Linked DNA regions of Schizosaccharomyces pombe. Changing the gene in region 1 together with any one later gene gives a genetic interaction. Each region holds a gene or a part of one and is shown on either strand. Other genes may lie near its edges.

Region 1 (8,249 bases):
TGTCAAACTGCTGAACTAGATCCTGAGAGTGAAATCATTCAAACCAATTTTAATACCATTAAGAGTGATATTGAAATGGAAATGGCTGGAGGTAAGGCAAGATGGCCTGAGGTTTTTGGAAAAGAAGTTCGCTATCGTACTGTCTTGGGATTCCTTACTATGTTACTGAGAGAATTGATTGGTAATAACTATTACTTTTATTATGCTACACAAGTTTTCAAGGGAACTGGTATGACGGATATATTCTTACCAGCCGTTATTTTAGGTGCTATTAATTTTGGTACAACGTTTGGTGCTTTATACACAATTGATAACTTAGGACGTCGTAACCCACTAATTTTTGGAGCTGCTTTCCAATCGATATGCTTCTTTATATATGCCGCTGTAGGCGATCGAAAGCTCATATATAAGAATGGTACTAGTGATCACAGAGCAGGAGCTGTAATGATTGTGTTTTCTTGTTTGTTTCTTTTCTCTTACTGCTGTTCTTGGGGCCCAATGGGCTGGGTTATTGTCGGCGAAACCTTTCCAATACGGTATCGTAGCAAATGTGCTGCTGTAGCCACATCGGGTAATTGGCTGGGCAACTTTATGGTTTCATTCTTCACTCCTTTCATCTCAAATTCTATTGGGTTCAAACTTGGATATATTTATGCTTGTATCAATATGACTTCTGCGTTTCAAATATTTTTGATGGCCAAAGAAACTAAAGGCCTTACCTTGGAAGAAGTTAATGAATTATACGAGTCTGACATTAAGCCATGGGATTCCTATAAGTACGTGAGACAAATTGAATCTCGTCGTATACACTTCAGTAAAGAAGAAGAAAAGCGAGAAAGAGAGAAGTCAAAAGGATACCGCGGTCAAGAAGAACGTTTTATCGAAAATGCAGATGGTGCGGATAATGACGATAGCAGCGCTTCTTCAGAATCCTTTGCATCTGCTGGCGCACACTCCAGATCGGTTTTTCCTAGGAGGTCAAACGTGTCAGAAGAATCACACCCGACTTGGGTATAATCCGTGTCATCAAAATTTATATAGCGTTATTGCATTTTATTTTTCATGGTCTTTGTTCTCACTTACATTATAAAGTAATACTTTGCTTGCAAAGAAAACCTTAAAGCATAAATTAACATTTTTAAATATGATTTGGAAGTGACTAGTTTCATGAGGATAGTTAGCCTTTCATTTATGAATATGCCAGTGGACATATAATACCGTTTCGAGAAGTTTCAAAATTTCCACGAATGCGGAAGTGAAATTAATAGTTTTAGTTCTACGTCTTTACTGTTAATATTTCGCTTGTTCAGCTAATGAAATAAAAAATTATAAGAAATGATTGAAAGTTTGCAAAATAAGGATTAATATTACTTATTGTTGATGTTCATTAAATATTGTAGTGCTCTGAGGACGTTATGGTTTCCCTTGACGTTGGGGTTGTCTCTTTACCTTCAATGCATCGCACAATTTGTTAGAAGCTAGTGAGTCACAACTGAGTATTGTTTTCCGTAGCAGCAAAAAGTAAATGTTTTTGCTCAGAAAACAAAAACTTACGCATAAACAACAAGAGATAATTTAATTTGAATTAAAGAGACACCTGATTTTCACTCAACTGTAAGCATTACTGAAACGAAAATACTGCAATTAGGTAAGGAAGAGTACTTCCAGACTTCGGAGTGAATACTAAATCACCCATGATTTTAAAACAACCAAGTAGAGAACCAGTTATTTGCAAATTATTACAATGTACCTACCATGTTTACACATAGACTCCGTTTGCTTTTGGAAATTTCTTTTAAGCTAATTTGTAACTAAGGACGATTATTTATATTCACTTCGTCATAATTTTCGTATACAAGCTCATTATTTCTCTATGTTAATATATTGGACCAGACTTAATCTTCTAATCTTTTAAATTAAAAAAAAGAGAAAAATAGTCTTGAGGTTTCTTTTGGATTCAAGAAGACTTCGTTTTTTCGAGTTAACTTGATTGTATGATTTTCTTACCAAAGTTTGGATCAACATAAGCTACCGTTAGATAAAGACAATACAGTTTCGTAACTTAAACCATCAAATTAATTAATGTATGCTTTTCTAAATGTAAAGCGAAAATTAGATGGAATTTTACGATTCTATGGAAGTATTGATTGTTTTACAAGCAACTTAGTATCTAAATAATCGGAAAATATTTTGTACACTTTCAGTAATTTGTCACCGTTAAAAGAGAGTTTTGAGGTTCATTAAATTTTTCAAATTTCTTCATAGTGTTGATAAAGATCGACAGTGGAAGGTGAGTGTGTATTGACACAGCTTTTAAGATGTCTCAGAAGCTTATCCGAGCCGCATGATGCAAGAGCGGCTGTTTGAGTACCAGTTGCATGCAGAAAATCTTTAAAATAATCATTTACATCAGGCCTTCCATTTAGGTATTGCAAACTGTAATTTCTAGCACTTTGAGAGTTTAGAGAAGAGACTTCCTCGACAGGGTAGCTGTTAGTCAAATGGCAGAATATGTTGATATTCATTTCTGTGTAACGAACAGCTTCACAAAGTGACTTATGCACGATGTTCAATAAAGCCGAAGAACGAGCAGACCAAACAAAAGTTATATGAACGGTTCTGCTTTGCTTTTTTATAGTATCCAAAATAATCGGTAAGATATACGAAACTCCAACACCTCCAGCAAACAAAAAGAGGTAAGAATAATCTTTGTATGGGTTTGAGACTGGGCCGTAAGGGCCATCCATTAGTACCGATACTTTGGCAGCCGAACTTTCGAAGACTAAGTCTTCCTGTGATAACGAATGTCTTTCCATCACTTCAATTCCAACGTCTCCATTTTTTTCTATCTTCTCATCACTAATATTGATGTCGGAGACATCACTCAAACTTTTGGAAGAGACCTTCTTGGCTAATCGCTTTGTGAAACCAGCCCTTACTGCGACAAATAGTTCGATAAAATCATCGGAAGGAACGCTCGCAATCGTGAATGGATGTATTTGCCAATAACTTAAAGAGGGAATATTAATATACATATGGTTTCCAGCACCCCAAGGTAATCCAAAGAAAGATTTTTTTGGACGAGGCCCTTTCATATAGATGAGATCGTCTTCCACCAAAACAACATCGAATTTGGAACGATTTAAAAAGCTTCTTAGCATTCTGCAGCCACGATCAAACACGTACACGGCAACACAGACCTTCATGTAAACCACACACCTTCGATGGTGGAGCCAAATAGTAATTAAAAAGCCAATGCTGCACATATGGTGCAAAACAAAAAACCATTCGTAAAATCTTCGACGGAAAAATGGCAAGCTGCTTACGATCATAATTACCATTAACCCTAAAATAACATAACCGATAATGGTGACTCTTGCAGTAAGAAGTGCCCTTTTACCTTGCGCTGCAAGACCAATGTATGCAAAGCCGTGAATAGCACCGATCATAATTGCATATTGAGAAAGACGACGATGCACATAATTCATTTTTTCGTGAGACGAAATGAGCAATAAAGCAAAAGGATTGTTTTTTATGCTAAAAAAGTAGGAAGTTACATAGAGGCCACATGCCAAAAATCCTAACCGAGCGGCCACTGCATTTTTGCTCCAATTACCAGTACTTACTTGTGTTGTTTGCTTTCCGTGAGAGCTTGCGGGAGTTTGCATGCCAATAAATGGTATTGAGATGGCGAAGACGACAGGAACAGCAATTAAAGTCAATATTACTTTGTGAGTGACAAGATACGTATAAATCTGTCGAACAAAAAGATAATATTTCTCGAGCCATATTTGCCTCTTATCTGATGGGTCATGTTTGTGTGCATTTGATTTTATTATGACCCGAAAACGCTCAAGCCAAAACATCAATATAAATGCAAGTAATATCCCAAGAATTAAGCATATTGCAATGACGGTCCATTTGTCGCTCGAATTTATCGCCATCCTTCAAATGTATAAATGTATGGAGATTCTTCTTGTTCAAAATTGTATATATTAAAAATTATTAATAATAATTAGAAAAGGGTGTAATGTAAGTGGACCGGAATGAGATATCCAATCCTTTGGGTTTGCAGTTAGCAAAAAATTAAACTGAATTTTCAGAAACTATTAGTACTCGTTCCCCAAAATCCGAGTTTCCCTACTTTCGTATGTCTATTTGTTTCTTAGTTGAAATTCGTTGAAAATGTTGTTAAAAGCGCAGCCTTATTAATATCGCATTCGATTGTCCACTTTGCTATTTGTGTCATATCTGATTATCTTGATGCGTTATCAGATCAACCAAATTTGCACCTCTGTTGTTGCAACATTTTGGACAAACATGATCGCAATAACACATTTTAGCAAAAAAGACGCATTCTTCTCAAATGTTGTCAGCTTGAAAAAAAAAATTTAACAAAGAACTTGTACAAAGCCTCCCCTCTGTAACCTCTGGAAGCCACCCCTTGCACTTTTGCAGTGGCGTAGATTCACGCGTTTACAAAGTTCATTTTGTTCAACACTGTATTTAGTGTATAGCGGAAGCGGCTGGAAGCGGGGTGTTCCTCTGACAGTCTATTTTTTATCTGATGAGCTAAAGTCATGTGCAAGCAAGCATTACTTGGAGAAAAAATACTAAAACAATTAGATGAAATGTTTGGCGAGTCGTTGGACTGTATTTTTGATGCTTCCTGCTTATGAAAATCAACAGAAACTAAACTTTTTCCCCTTGCTTTTTTTTTCCGGTCAGTACCTTCAATACTTCTCGAACAGAATAAACTATTCAATTGCGGTAATACTCATCTCATGGTATCCATCTCGTAGCTGTTTTCATAAACTACTAAGGTTTTCTGCCTTCATCGGATGCTGTTAATACGAAAGAACTATAAGTTTATTGATACTTTAAAAACTCCTTTTGTTGTACTTAAAAAGTGAAAACACCCTGCATAAATAATAGAGAAAATAATTAATATGATTCCTATGATCGGTTTATTGTGTACTTTACCACTTTGGCATGGTTGCTACACCCGAAATACTCAGCACGCATTCACTGCGAGGAATTTAAAAAAAGGAAAAGCTAACCGATCTTACCAACTTAGAAGGTATTCGGTGTCATATCGAACCGAGAAAAACTAACCGAAGCCCGTCAACTCCATGATTTAGGTTATTTTCTCACCTTGAATGAGGAACGAAACCACGCTCAGAAGTTCAGCCTCATTGAATTTTCATGAAACAATCTTCTAGCTACTTGAATCTTTTAATTAATTCGGCGTCTAGAATCCCGTTAATGACTACTTTCCCAACAAAAGTGTTCAGGAGTTCTTAAGCTAAGCTACTAAACCCTCTGGACATGCGCTATACTGTCACCAAAGGAAATGTATTACGTATCCTAACGCCATCTAACATGCTAACTTTTTTGCGTGCAAATTCGGTTACTATATTGCATATTCCATCCACGCATAGAAATACTAATTTGACAATTTTCCGACCTTGTGGATGTCAATGGTTTAAAAAAGTTATTAACTAATACTGTTCTGTAAAAAGTCAGAGTCCTAAACATTTCAACTCACATAAAATCATATGAAGATGTGTTTTTGTTTTATTTTGTTAATGAATAGAGAAATCAAGTTCATCTTTAATGTTTTAAATATCATCGATCCATCACCTTTCACCATCACAGTCTCGCAGTAAAATCAATTTCCTCTAAAAAAAAGTATTATAAAGATTTCTAATTTCAATTTTAAAAGTCCTGATGTTAGACTGCAAGACGAAATGAGGGTAACTGAAGCTCATCAAGTTTATTTTCACATGATCCTCTATAGTCCAACACGAATTCAATAAATGCCAATTAATTTCTTTCATTATTCTATTAGGTTTTAGACCATTTATAGCACACAGCAATGCTACTGATATTATTCCAAGTACTTCATTCATCGTTAGGTACAAGCTGGTGAACCAATAATTGCTTCATCCTATGTCTTCATCAATAAGACTTTACTTTGAGATAATAATGGAGAAGCCAAGCTTAATTTGATCATGAATTAGTAGCAACAACTTGATTCTAGATGCTTCCCCTCTTTAGACGTTTGGCATGTATTAAAAATTATTTCCGTAAAAAATTAGCTTAAATTAACAGGCATTTCAATGCATCTTTTATATTTTAGAAGACAATTGTTGTAAGTGTAGCAAAAAAAATTTTCAATGAACGATATGAATAAACGATTTGTCCATGAATGAAAGCTATATTGCGTACTGCAAGGATAAAGCATGAATCTCAAGTAGCCTGCCAACGAGTGCCGTGGCTGCCATAGCTAACAGACCCAAGACCACAGCTCGCAGTATTGCACGCACTCTTTTGGCACCTCCAATGTGAGCACCCACAAACCCTAACATACCAAGAAAAAACATTGTAGCAATTGGAAGAACAAGCGATAGATATTCTAAAGGAGTAATAAGAGATGTCAAAAGAGGAAATATACCACCAACTGAGAAGGAAGCTGCTGAAGATAGTGCTGCCAAAGTAGGTTTCGCTGTTGTGTGAATATTTATGCCCAACTCATCTCTAGCATGGGCTTCCAGAGCATTATATTCCATCAATTGAACGGCAACAGTACGTGATAGCTCTTCATCTAACCCTCGCCCTCTATAAATAGCGGCTAACTCATCCACTTCTGCATCCCAATCAGCGTCCATCTCTCTTCGTTCAAGTTGCAAATCGGCATCCTCTAAATCTGCCTGTGAACTCACAGATACATATTCTCCTACCGCCATTGATAGAGCACCAGACATTAAACCGGCGACGCCAGTAATGAGAATAACTTTTATATCAGCATTAGCTGCAACAACACCTACTAATAAACCCGAAAGTGACAAAATTCCATCATTGGCACCTAGCACTGATGCGCGTAGCCATCCAATTTTATTCACTGAATGGGCTTCTTTAGGACGAGCTTCGAATATACTCCACATTAGACAAAGATAAAAGTTTAACGATAGTGTAGAGGTAGTGATTGAATAATTCCTTGATAAAAAGTGCTTCTGGTTCCTATTGTAAAAAGATGAAGTTGCAAAGAACAAAATAGAAAGAAAGAAGTTGAAAACTGCAATTAGTAGGACACTGAAAACGGAGGCATGGTGTCAAAATAAATATTTGATATAGAAGCCTTTTGATTGGTCAACGGGATTAACGCGGCTTAAGAACCTTGTTTAAGTACTGATAACATCAAAATGCTGGGAATGTTTAACGCTATGTTAACTTTCGGTATCCTTAGAGGCTATCACAAATGAATTCTAAAAATGGCGGAACATTTTTTACGACTTATTTCAATCGGTGAAAATATTAACAACCTGAATAATATTTTGACTGTGTATGCCCACAAATAAGTGCTCAATTTTCATTTCTAATTATAAAATTCAGTACTTTTTGGAAGACATATCTTGCTTTTTGATTAGTAATATTAGAGTACTAGAAATGTAAACTTCTTTCATCTTTACTTAATCCCCAACATAGTTTTTGAATGGTCTAGCGATCCAGTGCCTGAGCGTGGATTTAGAAGTCGAAGACCTTGTTGCATAAGTGTCGTTTAAATAAGAGCATCACGGATGTAGGCATCCATACAGTTGGTGAAAACGACCTAAAGTAGAAATGCGAAATTAATCAATCTGTAATAGTACATTGATATGCAAGGATATGTTAATATCGAAAAAAATTGCCTAGCTTTTAATATGCCACTATATTAAGAAAAAGGGCAATCAATACTCCAAGTAACTTGTATGAACATTGCGACGTTTTAGCGAGTCGTGGATTTACAAAGACTATAATACCTCATAATCCGAAAAATGATATTCTTAAAAATGAATAAATGGTAACACATATCGACATTAAAGCGCTGAACCGAATGAGTATTTCGTTGTCTATAGCAATTCATCTATTATTGACTAGTGTTTAAAGTATTCAATTAACACCTATATAATTAGGTAAACATGACTTAGCTTTGTAGCCCCAGCTGTAGAACCGGTTTCAGTACTGATTTCTTTAGTAAACACTAAACGGATATATTTTGAGGTGTAAGCAGCTTAAATAGCTTTAAAACTTAATACAGTCAGATTTCTATGCTTCTAATTAAAGCAACATATGATTAAAACGACCAAGGGAACACCAGATAGCTAGCTAGTCGTTTGACATCTGACATAGCGGATTATGTAAATCAAACATTTTGTGTCAAGTGTAAATACAATACATATTATAAACTATAAATAATGTTCATAATC
Region 2 (7,275 bases), on another chromosome or scaffold:
CTTTTGTTGAAGAGGAGGCCGAAGTTGGTTTTGTAGAGCTTGCTAAATTTTTAAAGAAGGATGTTCCCGATATGCTGGTTACCTTTTTTTTAGATTTCGAATTGCTTGATTTAGTAGTTGAGGAAGCGCTTGGTTTATTAGACGCAGACGGGGCCATCGCCGGACCAGCCGGGGCCATAACGACTGCGGAAGATGAAACAGTCGAATCGTTCTTCGTAGAGCTCTTCTCATTTTCTCTATTTTGTTCAATAGTAAAACTTTTCTCGGCCAGTTCAGAAAGATTTTCAGCAAGCTGGCGTATAACGGAATTGGTAGACTTTTTTTTTACGATTAAAATTGGTTTGCCAAACTTAACCTCAGCTAGCTTCTCAGTCGTAAGAGGAAGATTAGCTAGCACGAGCAGTATTAAATGAATGAGTTCGTCGTGTTTAGAACGAATAGCTGATACAAACCAGTTACGTAGTTTAGGAAGGAACAATTTACGACCGCCGTCAACAAGTTGGCTATAAATACTATTCCCCACTTTGCTTTTAAGAAGATCTAGAAAAACTAATTTTTGATCATCTTGGGTGATATTGCTCATGAGATTAACAAGGATTGCAGCACATTCTTTTGGAGCTTGGACGATGTTAATTGGGTTTAAACACTCAGTCAGAGTAAGGCGCAAATCTTCTAACGGATCAGAGGAAGAAATTTTTTGACGAGATTTAGATTTTAATCGTGCAAGCATTTGAACGTTCACGTCTGATTTTGATGATGGTACTTCATGGGAGGCGGTATTTAAACTAAGGCGCTTCGTTAGTCATAAATAAATTTTTAAGGCAAAATAAACTTACGAAGATCCTGAATCCGGATTCCTTGAAGTATGACTTGGATTATTAACATATGGATTGGCTGAGATAGAGGTATGATTAGTATTTTGTGATTGAGAGTCATTGGAAGGAGAAATGCCAGGAGAACTTGGTTCCTTATTAGAGGACAAGGATTGTGATGGGGAGCCAGTTTGCGAAGATCCAGAAGATATGAGTGATGGATTGGATGAGGCAACTAAGATAAATATTAGCAAATTGAACGAATCAAAAAAGAAAAAGAAAAATTGAGAACATAGGAAAACTCAGTATAGTAGAGATAAAAATAAAAAGAATGAATAAACAAAAGAAAATATACCTGAAGGCATTGTAGCTAACAATGAAGCATCTTTATGTGACAGAGGTGACTGGGAGTGTTGAAACACATGAGGTTCTAAGCCTAAGGGCAACAATTAGTAGAATTCTAAGAGAAAGGATCAAAAATAGCAGAGAAAAAAGAGAGAACAAGCAATCAAGACATCACTCGCTACAGCCCGTAGAGGCAAATATTTCAAATTATTGACCAACTCTCTATCCCCGCTTTAATAGCCTGCATACCAGGGAAAGCACTCATTAACTTTTCATCTAAGTTTTCTTCTAAATCAGGACTCAGATTAATAAATTCCGGTTTTCCACTATACTCATTGGAAGTATGTGGAGGATTTTCTGACGTTTTACTTGTTTGTCTATCACTCGACACATTTCGCACGGAATTCCAATTATCCATTAATTAAATATCAAAGAGGTTCAAAGTAATACTCCGAATAAATTGAACCTTTCAGAAATTCGCACTGTGCCGATTTAATCGTTTCCTGAGGATATACGCTGAGAAAGGATCAACGTCGACTACTATTCAAGTAAGGAAACTGAACATGCAACTTTGTGAAATTCGTTGGAGTTCTCTAAACCCTTCGCTACACCATCGTGTATATTAATAGTTAAAACTAAATAAAAAAATATAATTTTAGTAGATTTTTAATTTTTTAATTATATTGACAATAATAGAAGACTTAAGAAGCATTTTTGGCGTGTGGGACTTGGTATGCCAAATGGCTTTCCAGCTGTAAACAAAATGATTCACCGTTTTTAGATCGGATCAATCTTTTCACGAATTCCGTTAGAAAAAATTAAGAATAAAAGGATATTATACTCTTATTTTTTTCTTCATTCTCTTGTGATTTTGAACCCATCTCTTTTTCCTCATACATTAACCGGTCTTCATATTAACGTCTGTTATTAGATAGTAAACATAATTTATACATTGTTTTTTTTTTTTGAGAGTAAGCTGTGCACCAGTTCTATGAACGGAGTATTTTTATTTATTTTTTGCAGAATGGAACAAATTAATCTATATACTAACTGTGGAATGTATGAATCCTTTAGACAAAATGAATGAAAATACCTTCTACAAATTTTGAGGAATATATAGTAGGATTTTCAAATAATTTAAATATTGAGACATACAAAAATTAAGAATACCAATCATTTGTTCTCGTTTCATAATTCACATTTTGTGTCTATAACTTTCTTTATTAGCTTTTTTCTTTATCACACTAAAGTTGACATTTCTATTGACATTCTTTATGAAAAGAAATTTGCAAAATTTGATGTACAGATGTTTTAACAATTTTTTTTTTAAAAAAAAAAGGGGGGGGGGGGAATTGCTTTCTTCATAAAGTTCAACTAATTACAAACAAGCTAGCATAGTATTTTAAATAGAATTGGTTTGTATTTGAATTAAAGTAAAGATAAAGGAAAATAATACTCTTTATGGACTAGTTCCTCGATGTCGCAGCTGCAAGTCGTTCTTAAATTGCAAAAAAAAATTGCATATTAACTAGTCTTTGATTTGATTCTCGTTTACATTAACATAAACGTATAAATTTTTTTTTTCTTAACGGTTTTCTTTATTATTAAAAGAAAGGTGAGCATATATAATCAACATCGTCATGCATATAGATAAATGGGAAATTTCAGTTATCAGAGAAAACCCGCATGAAAAGTAAAAGGACTCAATAAACTCCTAACATTCAGTCATTCGATTATTTCATATCAACAAATGTATTATGGTTATAACAAGATAAATACTTAACGAGTGAAACCAAAATCTTCTGTAAACCGTTGATAATACAATGGCACTAAATTCATCAATTCATAAATGTTTCAACAGAAAATGGCGGTAATTAATCCGGACACTAGTATCTTCATGCAACCTTATTCGCTAAAAGAAAAGGTAAAAAAAATAAAATGTGTCTTTGCTATTGAGTAGATTTGTTCAACAATGGGTAATTAAGGGATGCTTGAAAACAGCGTGTTAAATGGGGAGTTACAATAAATCATGCAGAAAATAACTTGCACACCAGCATAGCACACAAATCTAAAAATGGGAAAGATGACTTAAGATCATCCATGCCATGATCAGCTGTTCGTTCAGGATGAGAATAAATATCTTTGTAACCATTAGATTTCACATCTAGCATAAAACACCCGGGCATAACTTCATAAAGTTGTAACTCAATATAAGCATAAGTATTTTTTCCTTCCCTTTTACAATGAGGAATTTCCCAACGACTTTTAATGGTATACATGTCTGATCGATATTTTCCATTTACTGGTTTTGGAACGGTAAACTGAGCTCCTGCACGTTGTAAAGCTCGATACACAGCCAACAAAATTTCAGGTGCATCGCCCCGGCAGCGAACACCAAAATGCCATTTGTTACGGCGACTCTTTTTGCGAGTGGATTGGCTCGTATCCACAGCACTAGCAGCATCGGCAAGAGTCCTCATTTCAAGTTTATTTTTTTCTGCCGTAGGCACAAGGACACATATGTTACTGTCAATTGTTTGTTTAGCATATGTTGGAGGGTCGGAGACTGTCCAACGCGGTCCTTCTAAAGTAGGATCGATAAGCTCCTGTTTTGACTTCTTTTGCAATTCAGAAGTATATTCTGAAAATGCGGGTGGAGATACAGATAGAAAAGAATCGACTCGTTTTGATTTGGAGAGATGACTCTTTTCTTGGATTACTTGATTTTCATGTAGCAAGTTATAAGCCTCTTTTACTTCATTATTTTCATCTGAACGTAAAGCTTCGACAATGTAATCCTCCGAGAACCCCATTGCCTCACCAAGCTTGCTGACAATTCGTGAATCAGCATAAGAGCCTTGGACCTCCTCCATAGGACGTAAATAATCGGGTAAATTAACGTTGAACCAAGGGTCCCGACGTATTTCCTGAATTGTTATCCTCTGCATTGGATCTGCAACAATCATTCGGCGAATTAAAGATTGTGCTCCGGGAGAAAGAAAATCAGGCATAACATAAACACAACCTAAATACGTTTAGCAAGAGATAAGTAGAAAAAAAAGTGGCCAAACATACTGTTAACTTTTTTAAACAAATTGGGGATAAATTCATCGTCGAAAGGAAGACGACCCACCAACATCACATAGAGAACAATGCCGCAACTCCAAACATCGACTTCTGGACCAGCATACAATTTCCCGTTGATAACTTCCGGGGCTGCATAATTTGGACTGCCACAGGACGTTTTTAGGAAATTACCGTCTGTCATAATATTTGATAAACCGAAATCAGCAATCTTTACGTTGAGATTGTCATCCAACAACAAATTTTCGGGTTTAAGATCGCGATGTACAATTTTGTGACGGTGACAGTACTCAATTGCACATATAATTTGTTGAAAAAAACGACGACCCTCATCTTCAGTCATCTTTAAAAACAGTCAGCAAATACATAAATTCGTGCATTCAAATTTGTAAACAAGCCTTCATCAGCAACATTTCAGATGCAAAAACAATTTATCTTTTTCTATTTTTAAAAAAGACAATCGGATAACTTGTACATTTTGACAAATCAAACCAATCCAACATCACTTCTGAAATTTACTGTAACAAAAACTCGCAAACCGCACCACTTACCCTTTTCTTTTCTACAATATAATCAAACAATTCACCACCTGCATATTCAATTACCATAACGATATCTGTGGGCGTGGTTATCACATCATACAATTTAATAATATGAGGATGTCGCAAAAGCTTCAAGTATGAAATTTCACGCTCCACACGCATATGCATATCGCTTTTCTTTAGCAATTGACGGGAGATAAACTTGAGAGCAACTTTCTGTTGCGTTTTGTAATGAGTAGCGACTACAAGTACGTTAGTCTCTATTCTCATGATATTAAATATTAGCAATCTTACGCTTGACTTTGCCAAAAGAACCTTCACCAAGGGTTTCCCTTATAATATAAGGGCCGATATGGCGCTTGGATATGGCTTCTGGTGGTAAAACTCTTGCTCCATTTCGCATGGTTGAGTTCTCCATTAAATCAACCTCCTGCGGTTGCATTATCAGCTATTCGCTTGGCAAATCCAATATTGAAAGTTTATTGATAAAATCTTTTTTTCCTTAATAGCAAGGCTTAAATTTCAGAGTGTGAGATAAATATATAATTTGGTAGAAGGCAAAGCCATAGTATACATCCTTAGTTGTGTCACATGAGATGATATGAATTGGACTCGTTAATTCGTTTAAAATAACACTATACAGTTTTTTAAGCCACCGTTTTACTAGTTAACGAAGTTGCGTCACAATGCGGAATTTTACTCAATGAATTAAAATTCTACTACACTATTCATTTTAATGCAAACTGCAAACTCTTATTTAACTAACCCAGTTAACTGTTCCAATAAAATACTTATACATGTTACAGTGTTCGCATTTCAATCTTGGCTGTATAAGTAATAACATGATCCAAGTATGATTAAGCAGTTTATTATGTTTGTAAAGAACCCATCCCAGATATAATGGAACACACGGCGTACCCCACAGTCTTCATAAGATGGTTGTTAAGTGCAGCGTTGTGTATCGCATTATAACGCTCTTGTCAAATCTTCGTTGAGTTTGTAAACAATTAAGTACTGGTTGAGTTAATACAAAAAAAAGGAAATGAACAAGCTTTTTATTAGAAAAGAGTCTTCATATTGGATGTGATTTCTCAGCAACATTTAAACAGTGATCATGAATATAACGAGCCTGAACTGATTTCATTTGTTTACAAGGCACACAGACTAATTATCACTGTTTCTTGCATGAAAGTCTTTGCTTTGACGAAAAAATTTAATATTCTAAGAAAAGCTATCAATCAAAATCCAAATAAAAATTTTTTTAGAAAGCAGGGAAGTGTTTTCGAAGTCAACAACTTGTATGATAATATAAGAATGCAATAAAAATACAGCGCAATTTACCCTGAACGAATTTTATAGCTTGTTTGGGGTAAATCACAATCACAGGAATGCTTTTTTATTTGGACATCCTCGTAAACAAGTTTCGTGTAAAAAGCATCTTTGTAATTCAAATAGTAAAGTTAGCATGTGATTGGACTTTATTTACAAAATTCATTTCACACGATGAATAGAGGTTTCTTCATTCACATGCTGTCTGGCATCACGATCTATAGGTGTTAAGCAAACACATTTAAAGTGATACTTTTTTATATAATAGAATATGCCACCATAAGTTAGTTCGCAAATTTTTAGCTTTAGGTCAAACTACGCAATTAAAACTTTGCGCTACGTGTAGTAGTACGGTAAATTTCGTTGTGGTTTATTAATTATAGTATACAGATATCATGAGTAGCAATTAATTTTATGTATTGATATATGGGTTAAATCGTTACCCATCACTAAACTAGCTTATAAGTGAATGTCGTTCCTGAGTTCAATTTGGCTCTATTTATATTTCATCCTAATTTATTAAACCACAAACATTCTAGATGAACAGTTATCCGCGATTATCAGTATTTAAACGGGTCTTAAAACTATATTAACATAAGGAAACATGCTGATACACAACGTAATGTATTTTAACGCAGGGTAGTATTGCTGACACTAATTTGCAATGACTTTCTTGTTAACTCGCGTTTTAGTAAATAAAAACATTAATTTCGTTTAATTTGAAATTAAAGCAAAAAGACATTATATGTTTTCCTAAAATCATTAATGATGTAGACATATCAATGCCTTGCCAACTCGCGAATTAACATGTTTATCGTATTGTTGTCAGCAAACGGGATAAGAGTTTTGCCTCATATTGCTTGGCAAACAGTAAGTCTACTTTCTTTTTGAATTTAATTCATGAACGAGTTAAAAATTTTGACACAAATTCTTGTTTCTGCAGTACAATGATTTGCTTGTCGCACACATTCACAGTCATTGTATAACTATCCTCGTGTAAACATCGCAGATCTCTACATTGCAAACGTCCTCTATTTCAGTATAGTATAACTCTATCTAATCCTTTGTTCATTTCAAAATGCCAAGTTTGAGGTATGGATTAGGGAGATACTCTTTCATGTTGCTTGTTCAAAGAGAAAAATATTAAAAATCGAGGAAATTCA

The links. A genetic interaction does not mean that the proteins touch.
Region 2: mutations in frp1 (region 1) and ssp2 together harm fitness less than expected from each alone (positive genetic interaction), as found in Schizosaccharomyces pombe (one large-scale study listed by BioGRID).

Annotation. Positions count from the first base shown.
Region 1 is NC_003423.3:158,212-166,460, forward strand, and holds frp1 (Fe(3+)-chelate reductase Frp1), read right to left. Parts: upstream 4,182-8,249; 5' UTR 3,945-4,181; coding exon 2,250-3,944; 3' UTR 2,146-2,249; downstream 1-2,145. Other genes in the region: hexose transporter Ght4 , read left to right, coding at 1-1,017; Fe(2+) transporter Pcl1, read right to left, coding at 6,219-6,947. UniProt on the Schizosaccharomyces pombe protein: Metalloreductase responsible for reducing extracellular iron and copper prior to import. Catalyzes the reductive uptake of Fe(3+)-salts and Fe(3+) bound to catecholate or hydroxamate siderophores.
Region 2 is NC_003421.2:1,926,633-1,933,907, forward strand, and holds ssp2 (serine/threonine protein kinase AMPK catalytic (alpha) subunit Ssp2), read right to left. Parts: upstream 5,343-7,275; 5' UTR 5,226-5,342; coding exon 5,078-5,225; intron 5,026-5,077; coding exon 4,793-5,025; intron 4,585-4,792; coding exon 4,233-4,584; intron 4,183-4,232; coding exon 3,185-4,182; 3' UTR 2,558-3,184; downstream 1-2,557. Other genes in the region: ppn1 (cleavage and polyadenylation specificity factor complex-associated protein), read right to left, coding at 1-785, 837-1,047, 1,168-1,248, 1,407-1,575. UniProt on the Schizosaccharomyces pombe protein: Serine/threonine protein kinase essential for release from glucose repression via the phosphorylation of scr1 upon glucose deprivation.